Mytilus edulis: one gene and its partner. The protein of the gene in region 1 purifies or fractionates together with the protein of each later gene. This does not show direct contact. Links are inferred from orthologs where the notes say so. Each region holds a gene or a part of one and is shown on either strand. Other genes may lie near its edges. The genes, in order: tRNA pseudouridine synthase Pus10-like and protein Abitram-like.

Region 1 (6,563 bases):
TATCAAAAGCTAAATGAACCACAGAATTGTACATAAATTTATGATATTGATAATACAAAGCAACCAAAAGAAAATACAAATACATGTAAACATGGTAAATGTACAGAGAGAACAGGAAATTTACAACTTTTATATGAAGATAAAAAAAACTAGAAAAAAAACTATTTATCAATCAGGGCTCACGCTACCAGGCGACTTGGGCGAAGTAGTCGCCTTCCCGACCGTCACTTCGCTTTCCCCAACCCCCAAAAGCGAAAACAAGTAGCCCTGTTCTTGACGATACTCGCTTTCAGTCGCTTCCGTCATCGGACATTTCAATTTTTACCAAGTTGATGAAACATCAATTTTTTATTGATAATTTAAGAAATTCAGACATAAACAGTTCATTATCTTTAGAAAAGAGGTTGAAGCATTGTCTTCGCAGTGTGGAGCAGGTTATTTGATAAAAATACAACTTTTTATCACTTCGTGCATTTCCGCAAGTTCCGGTGCTTGTTACTCGAAAACGTACATCAACCAAAATTTCGGCAGCAAAATAAGTTTGTTACTTCATTTAAACGTGATAAAAGCTGCCTCCAGTAAATGTTTAATCCATTTATTGCATTAAAAACGTCATGTTCCTTTCCAAATAACTTGTCAAACATCGTTTATTTTTGTAAATTTTCTTGCATTCGTCCGCCATTGACCGATTTCTAAACTATGGATATGAATCAGACCAGCTATGACCGAAATCTGTACTTTTACAATAATTACTACGGACGCACGGATGGAACAGCTGACAGAAGAATATTGATCCCAAAGGGAAAAATTACACATTCCACACGCATTAAGAGACTTTTGGTTACATCTAATTGATTGGTGTATATAATTTCCTATATTTTTTATGGATTGTTTCAAACTATTGATTAAAGTTGCTTACCTCTAAGACTATTACACTAATATCAATATATTATGGCCCAGCTTAATAACTTTTATATTTTTTTATCAGAAACACTGAATTTCATACACACGATAATTTTCAATTAAATTGTAATTGATATATATTATAATTTTCTTTACATTTTTTAAAATAAAAAAATATTTTTTTAGTGCTAGATATTTATTTGGTAGTTTCTCACAAGAACCTTAGTAAAAATTCAACAACTTTTAATTTCAAATGTTACTTTAATTGTAATTTTTTTACTCAGATATGAATTGAACAATATAAAAAGAACATTATTGACATATGGCCCTTTATACTATTGTAAAATCCAAACATTGTAGCGCACCACACAAATAAGCACTTCTCTTTCAAATCTCACCACTTCTCCCTATCAGTTTCAAAAAGAGAAGTCACTTCTCCCTATAATTCTGAAGTAGTGTGAGCCCTGAATTCAATGAGACACTATGTTTGGCTTGTAATTTCACCTTTCTATATATATTCAGAAAGAGCTAAATACAATGTACTGTATCATAATAAAAATCACTTCATAATGAACATGGTCTTGTTAGTTTCAAGTTGATGTGACTGTAAAATACCAAAATTTTAATCTGATAAAAGAAGGAGAGTTCAGAGATACAAACATGTGTACAGACATGGAAAAAATATTGGCACTCTTGTCTTTTACAATGTGTTAAATATGAAAAATGGCATTACAGTAAATGGACCACTTTCAAGTTTGTTTGCTTTACCATTAAAAAACATAGGTTTTAGTGAAAATCATATGTGCCTTTTAGGGCAGCATAACTTCTTCCCCATGTTGGGAGAGCAGTTGAAAAAAAATAATGCTGTATTGCCGAGTTATTTGACAAATTAAATTCTCATAATTGATAATCGGAAATTGCAATTAATTACCAATGGAACAGCTAATTGTGCATAATGAGGCTTTATAAACTTAAAAGTACAGGGATACATGCAACCTCCTCTATCTAGAATGATGTCATAAAAAGGATCTTGAGGACATTCCTTGAAAGTATTCTATTTCTACTAATGATTTAAAATGAATATACCAAAGACAGAACATCAGTCATCACTATTACATTCCTTGTCCTTTGAAATAAGCCTCTAGATTTCAAATTTTTGTCTTGAATATGCAAGAACTATGTGCCTTTGGACATACAGCGAATAACAATCAATCATTTCATTACATGTATTTACAACATTTATGATTGGGAAAAATAATAATATCTGATATCATTTTATATACTCTGACAACTGTAAGGGTAGAAATGCCCTTTAATGTCAGGCATAAAACAATCGTTTCTGGCTGCTATTTGCGCCATATTGGTTTAAAGTTTTCTGAGATTTCGTCAAAATTCCCTTTTTTTATTCGTCAAAGGTCTGAAATTATTCATTGTAAACAGCATTTTGGGGGAAGATAAGTCCCAATTTTTTTCTATTGTCTAAAAGTATCGTCATAAACCAAAATCTACCGTTATTATCATTCGGCAAAAATTTTACTGTTATTCGTCATTAATCTGTTAATGACACTTGACATCAAGTTGCCCTCATAACGACCCTCAGGCCTCACCTATAAGATCAGTTTGAAAGAATCAAAGTTTTACGATTTTTAGGTGCAATGACATTGGAATATAATAATTTTTCTTAAATGTTGCAGCAATATAAACACTAAATTTCTGCCTCAGACTCACTCACTCAGTCTGATGTCCGGCTGCAACAATTTTCATTATTTTGTACATCCAAAAACATTCAGTTTCTATTTTCATCATGGTGTATTTTCTGCAATATGTGAAGTGTATATATATGTGTCAAATTCTTTTACAAAATTACCGTATTTCTGTTTGATTTTATGGTAAATGCATATCTGGTAAGTCTCTTCTGGTAGGGTTTGGTCAGTCCAAAACAGAAGGGAGGTAATTTCAAAACTTCCGGTTACAGAATCGCTAAAGAACAAGATGGCTGCGCCCATAATTCAAGTTCGTGTAACTTTTAAATTAGCTTTTATATGTTGTTTGCGCAATTTCATTTGATAAATATCTCCAAAAGTGTTATTTCTAAGGTCAATTTATGTTTATTAACATAATTTCTTCTCCTTTCATTCTTGCAATATGTTAAACACGTTGTGTGATTATATTGGGAAGACGGTATCGGGTTATTTCGCCCCTATTATATATTCGCCCAAGATTGGCCCGTCCCAAGATCTTATTCGCCCTAGTTTTAATTGATAAAATATACTTAAGTATTTAGGTTTTAATGTATGTTGGCCTTTCAATGATCGACATTTGAACTCGCAATTAAGTTTGGTATGTTTCTCAAAAGCTGTTTTTACCAGGTTTTTTGTTTACACGAATTGTAGCTTGTGGAGACAGAATGGGCTATTCCAGAAATACCCCCCCCCCCCCCCCCCCTATGGAAGACATCAGTTGTAAAAAAAAATTCCATGGAAATATTTTTCATCATTGCCAAAATTTTCAGGAATTCCAGAATTTAAAATCATTACACTACTTAAAAATACTGGAATTTTCTTCATAATTCAGATTAGTCCAAATAATTATGACGTCTTGAAAGGCTATTATAATGACGTCGAAGTAAGGTGTCAAAGAAAAAAATTATAATAGCCTTTCAAGACGTCATAATTATTTGGACTAGATTCAGATTGCATCAAATTTTATTTAAATCTATTCACTGAAAACTCAATGTTACGTACATGTATATTATCTTATTTCCGTAAAGATACATCAGAATTGATTTGAAAATAAATCAGACAAATGAGTCACCTGTGTTTTTCTTGGAAGTGCAGTTGTCCAGTAAGTTCGCCCATGTGTAGTAGTAGTACACATGTATGGAGGACCGGTTTACTATAACTTAACCAACAAGAACATAAGGAAATGATGTTTTATTTATGGACCACTAAGATAAGAACTATAGAAGAACAAAATTTTAAAAAAATCAATTCAATATGACAAAGGAATTGGTGAAAAAGACGAATAAACCAAAAATGTAAAAAAAAATAAAAAATCTCAAGATCAGAAAATAAAGAAAAGTAAAAAAATATGATGTTAAAAAGATAAGAATGTCAACAGCATGGTTAGTATTATTCTCATAAGAGAATTATCATCATTCAGTATTCTGGCAGTTAAAGACACCATCATCCTTGTCAATGGGTTTGAAATCTGTGCAGTAAGTAGTGATTTTAATAAATAGCCCAAAATTTTATTTCATAGTCAATATATTTTATTTCTATTCAATAGAATCTAAAGTAAATCACCAAAATACAGAAAGCATTTTTCAAACTTGATCACGCATATTTCTTAAAGATACATGATCTTTATAAAGATTTTTTTAATTTTTGTTATTTTGGCTTCCATAGTTTTTAAAATTGAATTATCTGCCTTTGATGTAGATATGATGCAGTGTTCTCCCCAGGCCCTTAAAGGACCACGGGCCTGCGATGTATAATTTTCTACCGTGGTGGTATCGGTCTTGCCGCGATGTATAATTTTTCACTGTGGTGCTAAAATTATCGGTAAAAAAAATCATATAACGGTAAACCTTTCCGTGGGGTATAACATTTCAGATGAAAATTGACCAGTTCAAACCAGTTCAATCCAGTTCTGACAAGAAGATTGTTTACACCATGTGATCGATTTACCTTTTGAGGTTAACCTTGATGATTGGATTTAATCGATGTACATGATTCTTGTGTTTTAATTAATTAAGAGATCATAACTTAATGATCACAGACTTATGAGACTTTTGAGGGACAAGCAGACATTTGTTAATAAACTCTATTACTCCAGCCTTTGGTCATAAATGATTTGCGTATTTTTAAAATTTGAGTTACTTCCCCTGATTTAGCTTATTACAACAATGTGCTCCTAAAATATTATCCATCATTTGAAATAGAAATAAAGTACAAATTGAATGCAAAATTATATATATAAGGATGTTACCTCAAGGATAAAAACTTTCTTTGAATATACCAACAAAAATATATTGCAAATTATTTTTGACAATCATACTTTTATTAAAGCACAAACATTTTATATTAAATAGGTAGTATATCCTTTTATACATCTAATGACTGAGCTAGGGCAGTATGTTGATGAAAACATCCATTTCATATATATAGCTGAAGAGTATTAAATAATCAACTTTTACAAAATAAATTTACAATGATTGGAACTCAGCTAGACATGACAACCTGTCACAAGTGTCCACATAGATAATATAAGTATACTCTTCATGTCCATTATGAAGTAACACAATAATGATTTTAATAATAATTTTATTGATGTCTAAAGCTATGGAAAATAGTATTTAATTTACTAACGGTTCTACATTAAAATTTAATCTTGTTTAACGTTAATTGTTATGGTGTAATCTAACAAAAATGGGGAATGTGTAGTGTAACTATACAAGTATAAGGACAAAATTGGCTTGATCAAAGTATAAAAAGTGACTAGTTAGAGACTAAAAGTGCTTTCTGTTATTTATTCTTAAAAGATATTAAAGTATACAAACTGTTTGATTTACTTTTTTTACCAGTATTTTTTTTTACCCAAAGTCATACAGTAAACAAAACAAAAGACAAAAAGGTAATGGCACAAAAACTAACAAGAAGAAAAAATAAGCGATGCAACGCGACACAACATATTGTACAAATCATTTCGACACGAGTTACCCTGGTGCTATCCCAAAATCCTGGGGAGAACACTGTATGATGTAAACAAATGGTTTTCTTCGATGTAAAAATTATATAGTAGATGAAATTTATGCACCACTTAGGAAAGGGCATAATTATCAGATGGGCAGAGTTACAGACGTTTGTAATTACCAAACACCACTAGTTCAAGAAGAATTAAGAGTTGTTGATAAAAAACATCATCTGTGTGCAACATCAACCAAACTAGATTTGCAATCAAGAATAGTTATTTATTATTTGGATAAATAAAAAAAATCTTTGTCAAACGCCTTGATCATGTTGATTTTACATGAGATTTTCATTTCTTTCGCTAGACTAAGATAACTTCAAACGCTGACTTACTAAGGGAGATAACTGAAACATTGAGGGAAATTGGATGTTGTCCAAGATGCATACTGAGGTACATTGGGGAAAGACAAGGAGATGTTTACAGATTGACAACACAGGTAAATAAACAATGTAAAATATTGTTTACAGACAACACAGGTAAATAAACAATGTAAAGTACTGTTTACAGACAACACAGGTAAATAAACAATGTAAAATACTGTTTACAGACAACACAGGTAAATAAACAATGTAAAATACTGTTTACAGACAACACAGGTAAATAAACAATGTAAAATACTGTTTACAGACAACACAGGTAAATAAACAATGTAAAATATTGTTTACAGACAACACAGGTAAATAAACAATGTAAAATACTGTTTACAGACAACACAGGTAAATACACAATGTAAAATACTGTTTACAGACAACACAGGTAAATACACATATTGTTTACAAAATGATTAATGGTTAATATTTCTAAAGGGTACATCAAAAATTTATTATTGGTTTTAAAAGTTCTAAACAATTGGAAGTTCTAAAATGAAATGTCAAAAACAACAGACATAAGCTTAACATAACATAGGG
Region 2 (6,563 bases), on another chromosome or scaffold:
GACAAGTCAATCCACAGTTATTTTCATATTAACATGATTAAGGATTATTTGAAGTTGTTTTCCTAAAAAAGAAAGCTCCTTTATATTGATCATGTATACATATGTATTTTCATGATTTTAATCAGAATAATATAGCCATGATAGCTTTTGACCATGTTTTTAAGTATTTTAATAAATTTGCTACCTTTTGTCATAATGATCATGTTTGTTGCGGTTTTTTTTTAAATGCATGCCTCTGCACCACTTATTTCAAAGTAAAAGATTCATCATGGAAAACATGAGTAATTCATGGTACTGACCTGTATCATTCATATCTCTTATTCTGGCTTCAGCACACCAACAATTCTCCTCAACCTTTCTAAAAAATTTGCCATTCTTCATCATGTTAGCCACACCTGGACAGCTATGATCCATCTGTACCCAACCTCCATATCCATATCTCTAAAATCAAAGAAATTTTTATCATTGGTGCCCAATTTCCATAAATGTATCTCTAAAATCCAAATTATATTTATCATGTTTATCATTCGTAAACACAAATTTCATCTTGTGTCCATTTTACTGTGGATTCATTATTATTCCTTAGATACCAACTGTCATGGATTTTGTGGGTACATTGAACCAGGAATTTAAATGTTTAATGAATAACAAATTTTCTATAAGTTTGTATGCAGACTTTTTCAAAACCACGAATTGAAATCTAACATTTACAAAAAAGGCAAGTTTTCCACAATCCACAAAATTTGTTTTGTTGTCGTTTTGTTGAAATTGGTATCAACAAAAATAAACAAATCCACAGCATGTTCACTTTTAAAAGAACTTCACTAGAGCTTCTAAAACTTAGTTGTTATCATAGCTGATCACTACATATACTACATTTGTAATAGGAACATGACAATTAAGATGTCTAGTAAATTTTCTTCATTTAAAATTTTCAAAAAGGTATCTAATGTTGTCTTGAGAGATTTTTGTGGTTTTATTAGGTTTTTATAACTAATTATACACTAGTATTACATTAAACCATGAGTATTTGAATTTATTTCTTCTAACATGTAAACATAAATATAAAACATGAAATATGCATACATGTGTACCTGTTTCTATTAATTTAAAATTTTCTAGATATATAACATGTATAACATTGTTTTAAGAATTCTATTTCAAATTTATAGGTTGCATTATCATCATGATCATCGTATCTCATATAAGAATATAACATCAAGGACGTATATTAGTTATATGTTAGTTATACGTCCTTGACAACATACATGTATAAAAAGTAAAATACTAAAAATACTAAACTCTGAGGAAAATTCAAATCAGAAAGTCCCTTGTAAAATGGCAAAATTAAAATCTCAAAGACATCAGTAGAATGGATAACAACTGTCATATATTCATGACTTGGTACTGGCTTTTTCTTCAAGTAGAAAATTGTGGATTAAACCTGGTTTTATAGCTAACTCAACATCACACTAGTAAGACAGTCACATCAAATTCCATTATACATTAACATGTTATATGAGGGTATGGATGCCCTTTACCTTCAGGTTCATACATTCGTTTTTATTCTTAACTGCTGCTACATGTAGTACTAGATTACCAACACATGCATTGTTTTTCAAAATGACCTTTTTGAAGGACAATTTGGCATTCTATTTTAGATATAATTGCAAAATGATTTTACATATTAAGAAACTCAACCTTTTCTAAATCAGGCCAGCTTTTTGGTAAAATGTGTGTATGGAGATCGATCTTCATATTTAGCCAGGTCAGATGGTAAAGGTGAAGGCTACTACAATAAACTTTAACCAATCAAAGCAATCAGTTTTGGAGGCAGGGTCAAATAAGTCGTATCCTCTCCGGAAGACTTTCTTTTTCTACTGTACTTCCAACTTCCGGTTAAAGTGAAAGTAGACCACATTTCAATATTGTCAGCATCTCTACTGCCTTGCATGTTAATTAAGCCTTCTTAAAATCTCTAAGGTTATGGAAACTGACAAAGAGCATGTGATCAATGCTCAATCTGAATCTAAAACTGTAACTGGCAAAACTCACTTGAGTGTAGTCGAAAGATACTATAAACCAAAGTATATTCTAGGTAATCTACATTTCGAGTATTTATCTTAAACAGGTCAGGAATAACCACCAATTGGTGGATTATACCTCAATTGACGTATAATCCACCAATTGACATATAATGGTATAGACAAATTGACATATAATGGTATAGACCAATTGGTGTATAATTCTTTGTTTTTCAAAACAAATTATTCCACCAAAATGAAGCATTGTTTTCTTAAAGGCAGTGTCTGCGCGTACCCGCATGCGGGTACGAATAGCAAAATTGCCGTTCGTAGGCTACGCGTACTCACATCCGGTTTTATAATAAATTGCCATCGGATCGGGAATTAAACGTAAAATATATACAGAAATTATCGCAATTAGTGAATAAAATTGATCAACTACTTAGAAGTTTTGTAAACATTTATATATTATCATGATTATATGTAAGTCAACAGTTTTTCTCGGTTAATAAATATACTTGAAATGGGAAAAGAGTGATATACATGTGGGGCAGACATTCTCAAAGTTATCATGAATTGGCTGAACAATTTGTTCAAAAGTATTAGTCGATTAATTTTATACAATTGTATATATAAAAACAAACTCGGAGTCAATTGCAGCTGCAGAGAAAAGAAGAACTGGAAACACAAAAAATAAAGAGGAAATCAAGTTTTACAGAATATTTTTTTGTATTCACGGAGGCAAAAAATTCTAAACAAGTTCGACAGGAAAAATTAAGGCCTAATACATTAATCTGAAAAACAAAGGCCGATGCCAATAATCTTCTATGAAAGCTTCGTTAATAAATAACAAAATGTTTGACGAAAATGTAAACCTTCAGCGCATCAAAAAATAGTTTGCCTCTGAGGCGTGGAAGCAACTTAAAATTCGGATATTATATATTATAGGACTATAGTTTACAGGGACTGTAATCATGGTAATGTATATTTCATTTTCAATCAGTGTGTATTTAATTGCAAGGTTTATTATATATTATTAACTTATAAATACAATTCGAAAATATTATTTGTCATATACCCTTCACTCGTTCTACTCGAAATCCCCATATTATCGATAATTTCTGTATATATTTCACGTTTAATTCCCGATTTGATTGCATTTTATTATAAAAACCGGATGTGGGTACGCATAGCCTACGAATGTCAATTTGACTATTCGTACCCACATGCGGGTACGTGCAGACACTGCCTTTCTTAAAACCATATTATGGTATAAAAACTTGTCAAACATTCCTAGTTTAGTATAGTGACATAACATATTGCATTTAGTCAATAATTGTATTTGAAGTTTCTTCTATTGTTATCTTGTCAATTCTTGATTGGCAAATTTACCTGTAATCACCTGTCAATGGACATCATTACTGTCTGCAGTCGTGTGATCATGAGTACAACTCCACAGGTGAATGGAGCTCTTTGTTAATACTTGACTTTCATTATCAAAAGTCAATCATGGTCAATAGTACAAATGTTTCAACAAAAGAATTGCTGTACACATGCATTCTCAAGAGATGCAGCAAGCTTGGACAAAACTGAAACTTTCGGAGGACTCAATAAGCAGTCAGGGGACTTACTGAAATAAGTGATTTTTAAATCACTTATTTGAGTAGCAAATTCAAGGTTTTGTCACAAATTAGGATTTTGTAGTTTTTTCAAAATTTTAAAAACATAGGTTTAAATAACATCTTCTAATTAGTAAAATTAAAAAATATGAACTTTTTGCTTCTTTTAATAACCCTTTCAAGGCGAACAATGCATTGAGGCATCCCCGTAGCCAGGCCGAACAATGCGTTGAGTCATCCCCGTAGCCAGGCCGAACAATGCTTTCATGCATTGACAATCACGTGATGAAAATAATTTTCGTCTTTTTAACTCATTTCCCCCGTAAAGCTGCGTTTAACCCAATAGATATCCAGGTTTTCAACAAGCTTGCATGTTACAGTATAAGAATACGTATTCTTACTGGGTTTGACACCTAATATTTACCACAATACAATGAAAGATCGGTAGCGTCAACAAACAAAATAAGTCATCACCATTTTGTACAATACATGTGATGCGAACATGTGACCTTTTAGGTCAAGAAAATGTTATTTGGAAGGAAAGTCAAATATAATTTCATTATTAATTTGATTTATATAATGATTAAAATTACGAAAAATGCTTTTAAAAACTCCACGGAGAATAAAAGTCAAGTATAAATAATTGGACTTCCGTGGGCGCGGCTATTCCATTTTCCGACGAGTGCAAAAGGTCGCACTCCTTTTATGGAAAATCTAAATAAAACTATCCAATCACTTTTCTCTCCCACTTGCTCGGTGTCAAGGATGCCTAAATCATAGTAAATATAGTAAAATGTCGTCTGTAACATTTTAAAAATACAAAAATGTCCGACACTTCAGAGGACGAGCTTGAGGGGTTTTCGGCGGGTGAAATTGAACTTGCTTGCCAAAGATATCAAGTACAATTAGCCCAAAATGGCATAGGAGATGATTTCCTGATAAGTGATGTTGAAAGTGATCTGTCAGATGACAATAATGATGAACCGCAACTTGTTGACGTAAATAATGCCGGTGATGCCCCCAACAATGATGGATGGCACCAAGAATTTGATATTTTTGAAAGAGGTCTCCCCCATCTGTTCCAACCTAGAAATACTACTGGCCCACAAAATATATTAGGCCCAGAGAAGGATATAATTGACTTTTTCCAACTGTTCTTATCTGACAACCTTTTACAACAGATAATTGAAAAAACTGATAGCTATGCAAAGATGCAAAAAGATATGAATCCTGATCTAAACAAATCAGCTTGGTCTTGTCCCTCCTTGCCCGAGATGAAGGCTTTTATTGGTATAACTTTCCTAATGGGTATTGATGTAAAGCCAGATATAAAGTCTTACTGGTCTAAAGATTGTTTGGAAACCCCATATTTTGCCACAGTTTTGGCACGTGACAGGTTCATGCAGATTATGAGATATCTACATTTTACTGATCCTCACCAGCGAGTTCCACAAAGAGGGGAGCCTAAATACGACAGTACTTACAAAGTCAGATACTTTATGGACGCCCTTAACCAACAAATGAAAGATCAATATATACCAAAACGAAATGTATCGATAGATGAGTGTATGATACCATACAAGGGAAGGGTTGCATTGAAGCAATACATGCCTGCTAAACCAACAAAATGGGGAAGCAAGGTTTATGCCTTTGATGCTATCATTTACCTGAAAATTCTATTTTATTTGAAAAAATGCTATAATAATAGCTTTACATAATGAACTGATACTTTCTTCAAAGATTTTTCCCAGCAGTGGGAGTATTTTTCCTGTGAAGTTCAAGGTTTCATCTTTCAGATTATGTAATATAATTCTACTGTTCGCGATAAAAATTTCACTGTTCGGGGGTGTTAAAATTAGTGGGGGTTATTAAAAGAATGATACTTAAAGAAGTATTTTTTGGGAAGGAAATTGAAGTTTGATACTTAAACAAGTGATTTTTATGTCATTATCCTAGATTTAGTACAAGACCATCACCTGAAAAGACCTGGTCATCTTAGACAACACAGATGTTGGTTCTGATAAGTTTAGAAACATAATTAGTCCCTGGATCATTAGTATTCTATATTTAAAGTACACTAATATTAAATCACTTCTTCTAGTGATTAATTTGTACTACTTAAATAGGTGATTATTAAAGAAAGACAACTCTAACTTCCAACCTTTATGGAAATAATGTTACTTGAATCAGTGATTTAGAAAATCACTTGTTTAAGTAAGTCCCCTGACTGATAAGGGTCATTTTACAGTGAAATTTATCATCATGACCTATGGAATGATGGACACAGGCGTTAAGTCATGTTTTTCTTTCCATGATAAGGCATCCTATCCCTTTATATTATGACAAGCACATAGAATACCTACAACCTGTTGATAACCTTTATTGCAGAAACATATATAAATATTACGAAGATAATTAGCAGCTTCAATCGTCTTATCACACCTTCAGTAATAATAGTGGTGTAGTGGTTAGTGCATCAGACTACTAACACAGAGGCTCCAGGTTCGATTCCCATTTGGGATGAAAATTTCAGGAACTCAATTTTCTGCTCTCCCTTGACACCATTTGCGAGTATGGTCTTGAGGAAGCCATGATAGTCTAGGAAGGGGACGATAAATGGCTGGCCCGTGTTAAGAGAGAGCTATATCTCTTGCATGTTAGGCCAAATAAAAATATATGTGTGGTTCCAGTAACCGTACCGTCCCTACTTTTTCGGCTTAAAAATAGCCTACCCTAAAGATTTTATTGTCATTTTTCATTAAGCACTGTTAAAGTCAGAATGTTGCTCCCATAGACTCAATGTAAAAAAAAAACATAAAATAAAAAAAATTCCCTACCTACAAATGTACCTACCCTAACTTTTTTTCAGATTTAACTGGAACCACACATACTTTTTTATTTGGCCTTAAAGACATCCTTG

The links.
Region 2: the proteins of tRNA pseudouridine synthase Pus10-like (region 1) and protein Abitram-like purify together in Homo sapiens (affinity purification with mass spectrometry; 3 studies listed by BioGRID and IntAct, counting the BioPlex papers as one, with this or other methods). This does not show direct contact. The link is inferred for Mytilus edulis from reciprocal best matches to the Homo sapiens genes PUS10 and ABITRAM.

The regions. Positions count from the first base shown.
Region 1 is NC_092346.1:6,420,843-6,427,405, reverse strand, and holds the start of tRNA pseudouridine synthase Pus10-like, read left to right. Parts: upstream 1-2,853; 5' UTR 2,854-2,895; coding exon 2,896-2,916; intron 2,917-5,959; coding exon 5,960-6,091; intron 6,092-6,563. UniProt on the Homo sapiens protein: Protein with different functions depending on its subcellular location: involved in miRNA processing in the nucleus and acts as a tRNA pseudouridylate synthase in the cytoplasm.
Region 2 is NC_092345.1:85,785,937-85,792,499, reverse strand, and holds the start of protein Abitram-like, read left to right. Parts: upstream 1-1,878; 5' UTR 1,879-1,986; coding exon 1,987-2,098; intron 2,099-6,563. Other genes in the region: 2-amino-3-carboxymuconate-6-semialdehyde decarboxylase-like, read right to left, coding at 300-441, 1,702-1,758. UniProt on the Homo sapiens protein: Actin-binding protein that regulates actin polymerization, filopodia dynamics and increases the branching of proximal dendrites of developing neurons.